2 linked regions of the Ovis aries genome follow. The protein of the gene in region 1 binds, or shares a complex with, the protein of each later gene. Links are inferred from orthologs where the notes say so. Each region holds a gene or a part of one and is shown in the gene's direction. Other genes may lie near its edges.

Region 1 (4,719 bases):
CCATCTGTGATGGGCACCGGGCCTTCCTGCCGGAGGCAGAGCTGGAACCCGGGTCTGCGCGGCTGTGCTGGGCCACGACGGCAGAGGCAGGGCCCGGAGTGCACGCCCTGGCCGAGGTGTGCGCAGTGGTCCCCAGGTGGCTCTCTGCGGGGCCTGCGGGGCCGTCCCCTGCTGGTGTCCTCACGTGGCGCCCCCTCCCCCTGCCCAGTGTGTGTGTCAGTCGCGGCAGACTCTTTGCAACCCCTTTGCTCCCCAAGGAGCCCACCGGGCTCCTCTGCCCATGGGGTTTCCCAGGCAAGAATACAGGAGGGGATCTCCCTGACCCAGGGATTGAACCTGTGTTTCCTGAGCTTCTCCTGCATTGCAGGCGGATTTGTTACCGCCTGAGCCACCAGGAAAGCTCTGTGTGTGTCTGAGTCCTTACTTCGTCTCTTCAGTGGACACCAGCCAGGCCCGCCCTAATGACCTCCTTTTAACTTGGCCACCTTTGCAAAGACCCTGTCTCCGGATCCAGTCACATTCTGAGGTCCTGGGGGCCAGGACCTCAACCTATGAATCTGAGGGGTGGGCACCATAAGAGAGTCTCTCGGAGATGGGACCACCAGCCAGAGTCCTGTGGTTTCCTCCCTGGAGAGACCCCGGGGAGACTTCCCTGGGGAACGTCTGAGGACGGTGGACCCAAACCCTGAATGTTCTTGAGGTCCCTTTGCTGCCCCCCCCCACCGCCAGCTCCACTTTCTGAGAAGTGTGACACCTGTCAGGGAGAAATCTGACTCCCCTCATCGTGTTTTTAAAATAACTCTCATTATTCCTCCTCTGAAGGTTATTTTCAAATCCTTTGTAACTAGATTTCTCTCTCTCTCTCTTTTTTTTTTTTTTTTTTGATGCAAAGAGAAGGAGTCAACCCCTCTGACTTTCTGCTGGAGAAACTCAGGTTTCTAACTCATAACTTGGGTTTCTATTTCTTCTCCAATGTATGGGGGCTTGGACTCCATGAAATGCTGCTATTTCATCTCATACACGTTTTGGGATAAACGTGGATTTTCTTCTGGGAGCTAACGTGGGAAATGGGGCCCCGGGCTCTCACATCCGAATGGCAGGCAGCCTTGGGTGGAGCAGGCACGTCCCAGGCTCACGGGCAGGCATGAGTCCAGAAGTGGTGCTTCCTGCAGCCCCAGGCCCCTCGGTCCCCACCCGTGTCCAAGAGAAGCACCCCCTCCACCCCGCTCCCAGGGCGTCTCCTCGCTCCCCTCTGCTGTGAGCCTCTTGGCCGGCCCAGCGGCCTGAGACGGCAGTGGGCTCCTGGTTGTAAGCGCCCCATGTTCCTCTTGCCGTCTTTTGCTCCCTTGGTGCCCCTCAGCTGACCCGGGCAGTTCTGTTTTGCAGATCGAGGCCCTTGTGAAGGACATGCAGGACCCAGACACAGGGGTCAGGGTGCAGAACCAGAAGGTCACGGTCGTCAGCATCCCTCACGCCATGACGGGTAAGGTGTCTGGCAGTTTGGTCTTGGCCTGAGCAGACCACACACAGGTGTTGGCACACTAGAGCCCACAGGCCAGAAGCGGCCCCTGTTCTGTATTTGCGAATAAAGTTTTATTGGAACAGATCCACATCCCCATTCACGTATTGTCGGTGGCTGCTTCTGCACTGCGGTGGCAGAGTTAACACCCACACACCCACACAGACACACACACCCACACACGAGTCCAGCGTCCAGCCTCTCATCCCTTGTCTAGGCGTGTGAGCCACTGTCCTTCCTGGCACCTGGGGCCCCCTCGGTTCCCGGATTTGGGACGCTGCCCACTCAGCCACGGTCCCCCTCGTTTGCCCTACGTGGTGAATCCCAGCGGCAGTCGGAGCCTCTGTTGTGCGGCATTGGCGCTGCTCAAAGCAGACTGGCTCAGCGCCGCTGCCCCCTCGGAGGGCAGGTGGCCGGGGCTTAGGGAACGATGGGGCTGACGTGCGAGCTGAGATCAGCACAGACCACGCGGTGGACGCCCCGGGAACCCCCTAATCCCATCTGATCTATTTCAGGAAGCGCCCAAGTGGATGCGAAAAGCCCTCGGCTCCTTGGCGGGGAGTGCTAACCCGTCTGCTGCCAGCTGGGGGTGGGGGGCTCCCCTTCTTGGTGTGCACACCTCTGTGTAGGGACGTGGGGTGGACCGTCTAATAACACACCCAGTCCTGGGATTCTAAGTTGGATTTTCAGTGAAGACGTCTGCTTTTGAATAAGCAAGGGGCTGAATAAAGGCGAGAGCGACGGGCCCCTCTGGGAGCCGTCACCGTGGGCACGTGGACGTGGGGAGTGGGTGGCTGGATGTGTGTGCCTTCAGGACGTGTGTAGGAAGGGGCGGGTACAGGCTGTGCCCCCTCAGCCGTGCTGTGCCCCCCACCCCAGGGCACAGGCAGTGGAGTTCAGACCCTGGCTCCCCCCGTGGTGTGTTTCGTGGGCCAGTTTCCACTCAGGCAGGGCACCCAGCTCAGCCCTTGGGAAGCAGGCTGGGGTCGCTAGAAAGAGTGGTGGTTGGCATTTGCTCGATGGCGTTGGAGCTGGGGTGCATCTTTGTTGTGAGACGACGTTGCCGCCTCCGACGAGGAGCGTGTCCTGCCGAGGGGCCGGGGCCTGGCTGAGCCGGAGACGCACAGCTTCCTTGAGGGCCCGCTTCCATTCTCGGCCGCTGGTGGGGCTCGGCCTGTCCTGGCCCGTGGATCAGCGTGAATCCTTGGGAGGGCTCCCCAGGCCCTGATCCTGTCCCCGCCGGCCTCCCATCTGCGTTGCCCCCGGGCCAGCCCTCAGATGTGCAGGGCGCAAGGGCAGATGGAGCCCACACTCCACGGTCTGAAGTTGCAACTGAGACTACAGGGTGTTCCTAAGAAAGTGTCTCATCCTTCTGCTTTGACAGAAGGCTTTATGATGACTGAAAAGCCAGGCTTGGATGTAGCACTGGCTGTCAGAGTTTTGCAGGGGAACGTAGTGGCGTCTGAGACCCAGCACCCCAACCCTGGCGCACTCCCTTCCCCTCCCATCCGGGTTCTCATTACTGCTGGGACTGAGCTCCGTCCAGGGCTCCATGGACAGCTTGTTTGGGGCTGTTTTTTTTTTTTCCAATGGTCAAGACTTAGTGTGTTTACCTCCCTCTTGATGAATGACAGTCCAGGCACCCATTATTGTATCAATAAGGAAAGAGAGTCAGTACCTCGGAGAGGTGAAGGCTGAGGGGGTGGCAGGGACATGGGGTGAAAGTCTGGCTGGACTCACATTGTGGGAGGCCCTGAATCATGGGCTGGGGGTTCGGACTGGACATAGTTGGGGGGTGGGGTTCAGGGAGGTCCCTGGAGGATCTGAGCAGCAGGACGAGATCACGGCTGGATAGGGAGGCGGCCAGTTGGGCAGCAGCGTGTGGGTAGGTGTCGGGGAGGCTCTGACGTTGGCCAGACCCTTCTGCTTTGCAGGAAGTGACGTCCTCCAGTGGCTCAGCCAGCGCCTGTGGATCTCCGGACTGGGTGAGAGCTCCTTCTGTCCTCAGCCCGACCAAGGGCTGCTGTGGCATCACCCCGGGGCATATCTGGGTGCGGCTGGGTGGGGCGCAGCCTGTGTCTCTGAGAAACTGACCTTTTAGTTGGCGAGATGAAGCCTTTGTGAGTAAAACAGCTAGACTGGAAGGGGTGATAACTGGGGGGACACAGCTGTTTTTTCATACAAAATACCGAGAGTGTGTGAATCACAGGCTTCCCTGGTGGCTCAGATGGTAAGAGTCTGCCTGCAAGGCGAGAGGCCCAAGTTTGATTACTGGGTCAGGAAGATCCCCTGAAGCAGGGAATGGCAACCCACTCCATTCTTGGCTGGAAGAATCCCATGGACAGGGGAGCCTGGAGGGCCACAGTCCATGGGGTTGCAAAGAGTCAGACACGACTGAAGTGACTAACGTGACCACTGCTACTACTAAGTCGCAGGATTAACTGGGGAGGAGTCAGTCAAGAAGGACTTCCTGGAGGGGGTCATGCACACGTGTATTTGGTCTGGAAGGAGATGATGCCTGTGAAGTGTGGAGGGGAGCTCGGAGGGTCTGGACCCAGGGTGCAGGCAGAGTCCAGCTTGGGGCAGAAGTCGACTGCCCCTTCCTGCCTCTCACGGGGTAAAGAAGGGTCTGTTGGTCAGAGACACTCTGACCTGGGTTTCTCCAGACGCTCCTGGGTTTCTCCAGACTCAACGGTGTTCTTCCAGGAAGTCCCCATCTATCATCCCTAACCTGGCCCCCATCAGCCCTGTGGTTCACTGGCTGCCCTCCAGAAGCACTGAGCTGTCACTGGGGCGACCAGGCTGGGGGGCATTCTGGGACTGTCTCCTCAGCTGGTGCTTGTCCACAGTGAAGGTCAGGAACCGCTGCTCCCACTTGGCAAAAGTGCTGTGAGGATGGGGGTGCCCGTCCTGGCATTTGGGGTGCTGTGCGGGGGCGGGGCAGTGAGCTTCTGCCCTTGGCCCCTGCTCTTAACTTCCTTGTCTCACCTGCTCCTCCCCAGAGGCCCAGAACTTGGGCAACTTCATCGTCAAGTACGGCTACATTTACCCCCTGCAGGACCCCAAGAACCTCACTCTGAAGCCCGACAGCAGCCTCTATCGATTTCAGGTGAGCCTCGGCCTTGACACTGGGGTGTTGGTGGGGCAGGATGTCATCTGGAGCTGTAACTGGTTGGCTTCACATCCTCCCAGAGCTTTAG
Region 2 (4,819 bases), on another chromosome or scaffold:
GGCGGGCCGGCTGCCTCAATGCCAAACCTGGCAAGGGGCCTGGAAATGTAAATATCCTGCTAACATCTGCTGCTCCTCTCTAGAGCTGGTGGAAGGGTGAATTACTTAATCGAAATAGGGGTCTCTCTTCCGGAAACCCACAAAACTTGTAAAATTCCAGCCCCAAGGCAAACTAGGAGTCCCCTACAGTTTCTTCTGCGCCTCATTTCCTGAATGTCCTAAATCCTCAAACAAGACCCTGCACGATCGCAAGCGCCCACGTCCCCAGCACCTCCAGGGGCGGCCAGAGCCGCATGGCCTTGCTCACGCGCCAATGGGCAGTCCATTTTCAACGAAAAGAACTGAACAGACTCAGAATCCAGAACACCCCTTGGTGCTTCATAGTTTTCCCGGGGTAATCTTAACCCAGCTGAAAGAGGAGACCCCCGCCCCATGAGAGGCAGGCTAGCAGGGATTCCCTCCTCTCCCCCCAGCGCCTCCATCACCACGGGGACCACGACAGCCCGGCTCGAGGATCCGCACCCCTATCCACAGCCTCCCATCCACAGCCCCACCCCCCTCCACCCGCTCCGCCAGGCCTCCCTTAAACCGCAGAAGCCACCCAGCCCGTGAGCGACGGCCCTGACTATTATTGCCCCCAAGTCTGAGTTCCTGGGATCCCAGACTGCTAACCTGTACAGATGCCGCGGGGGTCAGAGCGCGCACTCTTCGCCAACCCCACCCCTCGACCCGCAAACACACACGAGGGGCACAGCGAGCCAGGCTGCGGACTGGAGCTGGAGAGCGCGGGCGCGGCTGTCCACTCCGCGATGGGCCCAGGCCTCGGGGGCCTCCCGGGGACAGCCGGCCCAGCTTGGGGCGCCGGCCGAGGAAAGAGCCCCTCCCCCTTCTCCTCTCTGAGGCCCCGCCCGGCCTCTGAGCCCAGAGGCGCAGCCGTCCCGAGGGAAGGGAGGCGCGGGAGGAGACAGGAGGGAAGACACTTACTTAAAAGGCTACATAGTTTCACTCCCCGCCCTTCCTGGAGTGGCGCCGATACCTCCCGGCCCCTCGGTAGAGACCTCAGGGCCCACCACCCCAACGCGGCAGAACTGCTGCACCGCCCACCCCCGTTGGGCGGAGTCGCACCCCCAGGACTCTGGTCAGTCCAATGAGAAGCTGTCTTTATTCAGAGTGACGCGTGCGCAGAGCAATCATTGAGCCCGCCCAGCCAGGGGTGGGGCTCAGGCGGCAAGCAACACTTCCTTTTCAGACTGGACCTGCCCAGAGCCATCGACTGCGCCTGCCTGGAACGGGAGGGGGCGGGGCCGAAAAACACATCTGACACAAGGGGTGGGGTCCAAGCTCTGTTGCTGGAAAGCGGGCTGGACTAGGATGGGGAGATACGGCAGCCTTCCCGCCCCGCAGATTGCCCTTTACTACTCGGTTTGGAGGACAGGGGTGTCCAGTCCTACGAAGCATACTACTTCCGTCGGTGGCTGGGTCTAAGAGTCAGAGCCCCTGGATTGTAGCCCCATCACTTACATGCACGTGGCGTGAGCTTGATCCTCCTCCTCCCTTTTAAATCTGAGCCTCAGTTTCCCCTTCTCAAAAACAGAGGAGGGTTGGGTCTGCTGAGCGTTAATATTCCAGACTGTAATGGGGTGCAGAGGAGGGGGAGAGGGGGGACCTGCACGTGACCTCCCCGCGCAGGGCCCCGCCTATCCCTGGTCCATGGGATGGGAGCGCTCAGCGAGGAAGGGCGGGGGTGGGCGGATCCTAAGAAACCCGACACCTCTGCCCTTAAGGCGCCCGGAGCGAGCGGCTCAGCGGCCCGCTAGCCCTGGCGACGGCAAGGGAGGAGGATGGGGACCTCAACACGGGCTTCGCAGGTGCTACCGTGGAGGCGAGGGCTGCGCAGAGATTCGGCGTGTGACTAGGAGCGCACCTGGGGTGGATGGATGAGGGAATGGCAAACCCGGTCAGCGGAAGCGCCTGTCGTGGACCCTGAGCAGCGGCAGCGCCAAGCTCCTCTCGGGCCATGAGGAGTGCTCGGGCCGTCCGGCCGAGGAACGCCGTCGAGGCTGGCTGCATCCTGCTGCGCTGAGTGGGTGAAGGTGAGAGGGGCGCAGGCGGCCGGGCTGCGCGGGAGAGCAGCGCCATGGCGAAGGAGGAGTGCAAAGCGCTACTGGACGCGCTTAATAAGGCGACCGCATGCTACCACCACCTGGTGCTGACCATCGGAGGCTCCGCAGACTCCCAGAACCTGCGAGAGGAGCTGCAGAAGACGCGCCAGAAGGCGCAGGAGCTGGCGGTGGCCATCCGCGTCCGGCTGACAGCCCCGTTGCGAGACCGGAGCCTGGGCGCCGAGGAGCGCGCCGAATTCGAGCGCCTCTGGGTGGCCTTCTCCGGCTGCCTGGACCTGTTGGAAGCCGACATGCGGCGTGCACTGGCCCTGAGCACTGAGTTTCCGCTGCAGGCGCCGCGCCGGCCGCTGGTGCGCACAGGGGTGGAAGGCGGCGCGACCGGCGTAGCGGCGCGCGCCCTGAGCGCCCGCAGCCTGCGGCACGAGGCGCATCGCGACTTCGACGTGGAAGACCTGCACCAGCTGGAGCGGGAGATCCTTCAGGTGGGCGAAATGATCCAGGATATGGAGATGAAGGTCAACGTGCCCCGCTGGACGGTGCAGGCCCGGCAGGCGGCAGGTGCCGAGCTCCTGTCCAGCGCCAGTGCCGGCGTCTCCTCGGTGGGCGGCGTGTCGGTAGAACAGCGCACTGGGCCCTGCGACCTGAGCAAGGCCAAGGCCGCCACCATCTTCAGCGCAGTGCTGCTGGCGGCTGTGGCCTTGGCGGTGTGCGTGGCAAAGCTGAGCTGACCCGTGCCCGACGGGCCCCCGCCTCCACCAACCCCTCTCCGGAGACACCTCTGGAAAACGTCTGCAACCCCCTGGACTAGGGATGGGAATGGGGTCTGGCATGTTTAAGGGGAACGGTTCTAAAGCACAGTGTGTGTAACGTGTATGTTTGTACGCGTGTTTCAAGCACACATCTGCCTGGGCAGAACGTGGCTTACCTCTTGCTGGCCCGGGAGGAGTTAATTTTGCGCGGGCCACCAGGGCATTATCGCTAATGTATGCAAGAGCTTTATCCCCTATTAATAGAAAACCGTTCTCAGTGACCTGAGATTCTTCCCAGTTAATACGTTACCGCCTGTGCTGCTGGGGCGTGTTTCCGCTGAGGCTGAGCTTGGTGCCCCCACCCCTGCGGGTGATTCCCATTCTCAGAGAGAGACAGTTTGGAAAGAGGATGGGGTGAAATGAAGTGTGCGGTGAGGGCGCTGTTTTGTGTTTGTGTGTGTTGCTTTTGTTTCCTGGAACAAGAAAGCAAATGGTAATAAGATGTGAACAGTTTTTATTACCTTCATCCTTTGGGGCCTAAGCTTAGGAGAATGTGTGTTCTTATAGGGCAAGATTACACACTTCTGCACCTACTTGCCTACTGAAAATGACTCCCTGGGTGGGACACAAGCTTTGGGAAGGGACGCAGTCTATCCATACAAGCACTTTCTCCTTGACTGGGGCTTATTTTTGTTCCAGAACTAGACCAGAGTTTCTGATCCTCCTTTGGGGGAGGGCTGGGGAATCCTCTTTGGAGCCCTTAATCCTAACTATCCCTTGGAATTTGCTTGCTAGCCAGTAGGAGAGCTGGCTTTGGAGGGAGCTGCACAACTCCCTGACCTGGACACCCCCTGAGAGGGTCAAGTGACATCACTGGGCTCAGAGGTTTTGAGCCAATCAGCCCTGAGACTAGGTTAGAACATAACAGCTTTAACTTCAAAATTTAGGAGCTTTTTTTAAAAAAAAATCTTCTGTTTAAAAAAATCATATGACCACATTGTGTACTATCAAAGCTGATTTTTTGTAAAAGACATTTGGCCACGAGTTCATACAGTTGCCAATGAATCATTACATGATGTCTTTACTTAAATACTTAGATTGCTAAACAAACATCTCATTTATTTTGAAAATCTGTCTTCAAGGCAGGAGATCATAGCATAAACTATTGGAACCACAGGTGTAGATGACAGAAGTTAAGTGGCCCTAGCCTTTTTGTGGCAATAAATAAGGAAATGTGGAAAACACCCTAGGTCCCAGGCTGGAATTTGCCTGAGTGGTGCCACCAACTCCCCACCTGTGGTTCAGAGAGAGCGTTGCTGGGGAAGAAAGGCTGAGAAAACAAGATGCATTTAACTCTATAGATAAATTGGAATAAAACCCAGAGACTGATTTGGCTGAAAAGTGAAAAGAATTTTTTTTCTCTCTCTTTTTTACCCCAGAAGGGAGAAAGGGGACTGGGAGGAGGGAATGGGTAGTGTTTCACAGGGCAGTTTGAAGGGCCAAGGTTCAAAAGTAAATATCAGTCCCAAGAGCTCAGTCCTACAGACCACCCTCCCAGCCTCGCTCACCCAGTCCCACTCCTCAACACACAGATAGTTAAACCACAGGGACCTGTTTGTGTGTTTCTGTAAAGATGGTTTTAAAAGATCCACAAAATCTTAAGCTGATTAAGAGTTCTGCAACAATAACTAATAAAAGGAACTCCTCCTGCTTCATCCAGTCTGGGTGAATCTGAATTGGGCCATGTCAATTTCTTTTTACACCTGCCTTCCCAGGATACCTTCAGAAATGACATAGGAAGTTTTCTACCTCCCCTCTTTCTCATCCACCTGGGATATAGCGTGGACTCTTGTCACCTCACGTCTCTCAGGCTGGGGCATATTGTGACCCACTGTTGGAAAATATCCCTAAAAACCAAGCCCTAAATATATTCTTTGATCTATAAAA

Evidence for each region.
Region 2: RGS9 (region 1) and RGS9BP share a complex: the UniProt entries of both Homo sapiens proteins name them as parts of the RGS9-1-Gbeta5 complex. The link is inferred for Ovis aries from reciprocal best matches to the Homo sapiens genes RGS9 and RGS9BP.

What each region holds. Positions count from the first base shown.
Region 1 is NC_056064.1:61,171,020-61,175,738, forward strand, and holds part of RGS9 (regulator of G-protein signaling 9), read left to right. Parts: intron 1-1,386; coding exon 1,387-1,483; intron 1,484-3,453; coding exon 3,454-3,504; intron 3,505-4,521; coding exon 4,522-4,628; intron 4,629-4,719. UniProt on the Homo sapiens protein: Inhibits signal transduction by increasing the GTPase activity of G protein alpha subunits thereby driving them into their inactive GDP-bound form. Binds to GNAT1. Involved in phototransduction; key element in the recovery phase of visual transduction.
Region 2 is NC_056067.1:42,655,787-42,660,605, forward strand, and holds the start of RGS9BP (regulator of G-protein signaling 9-binding protein), read left to right. Parts: upstream 1-1,803; 5' UTR 1,804-2,137; coding exon 2,138-2,851; 3' UTR 2,852-4,819. UniProt on the Homo sapiens protein: Regulator of G protein-coupled receptor (GPCR) signaling in phototransduction. Participates in the recovery phase of visual transduction via its interaction with RGS9-1 isoform.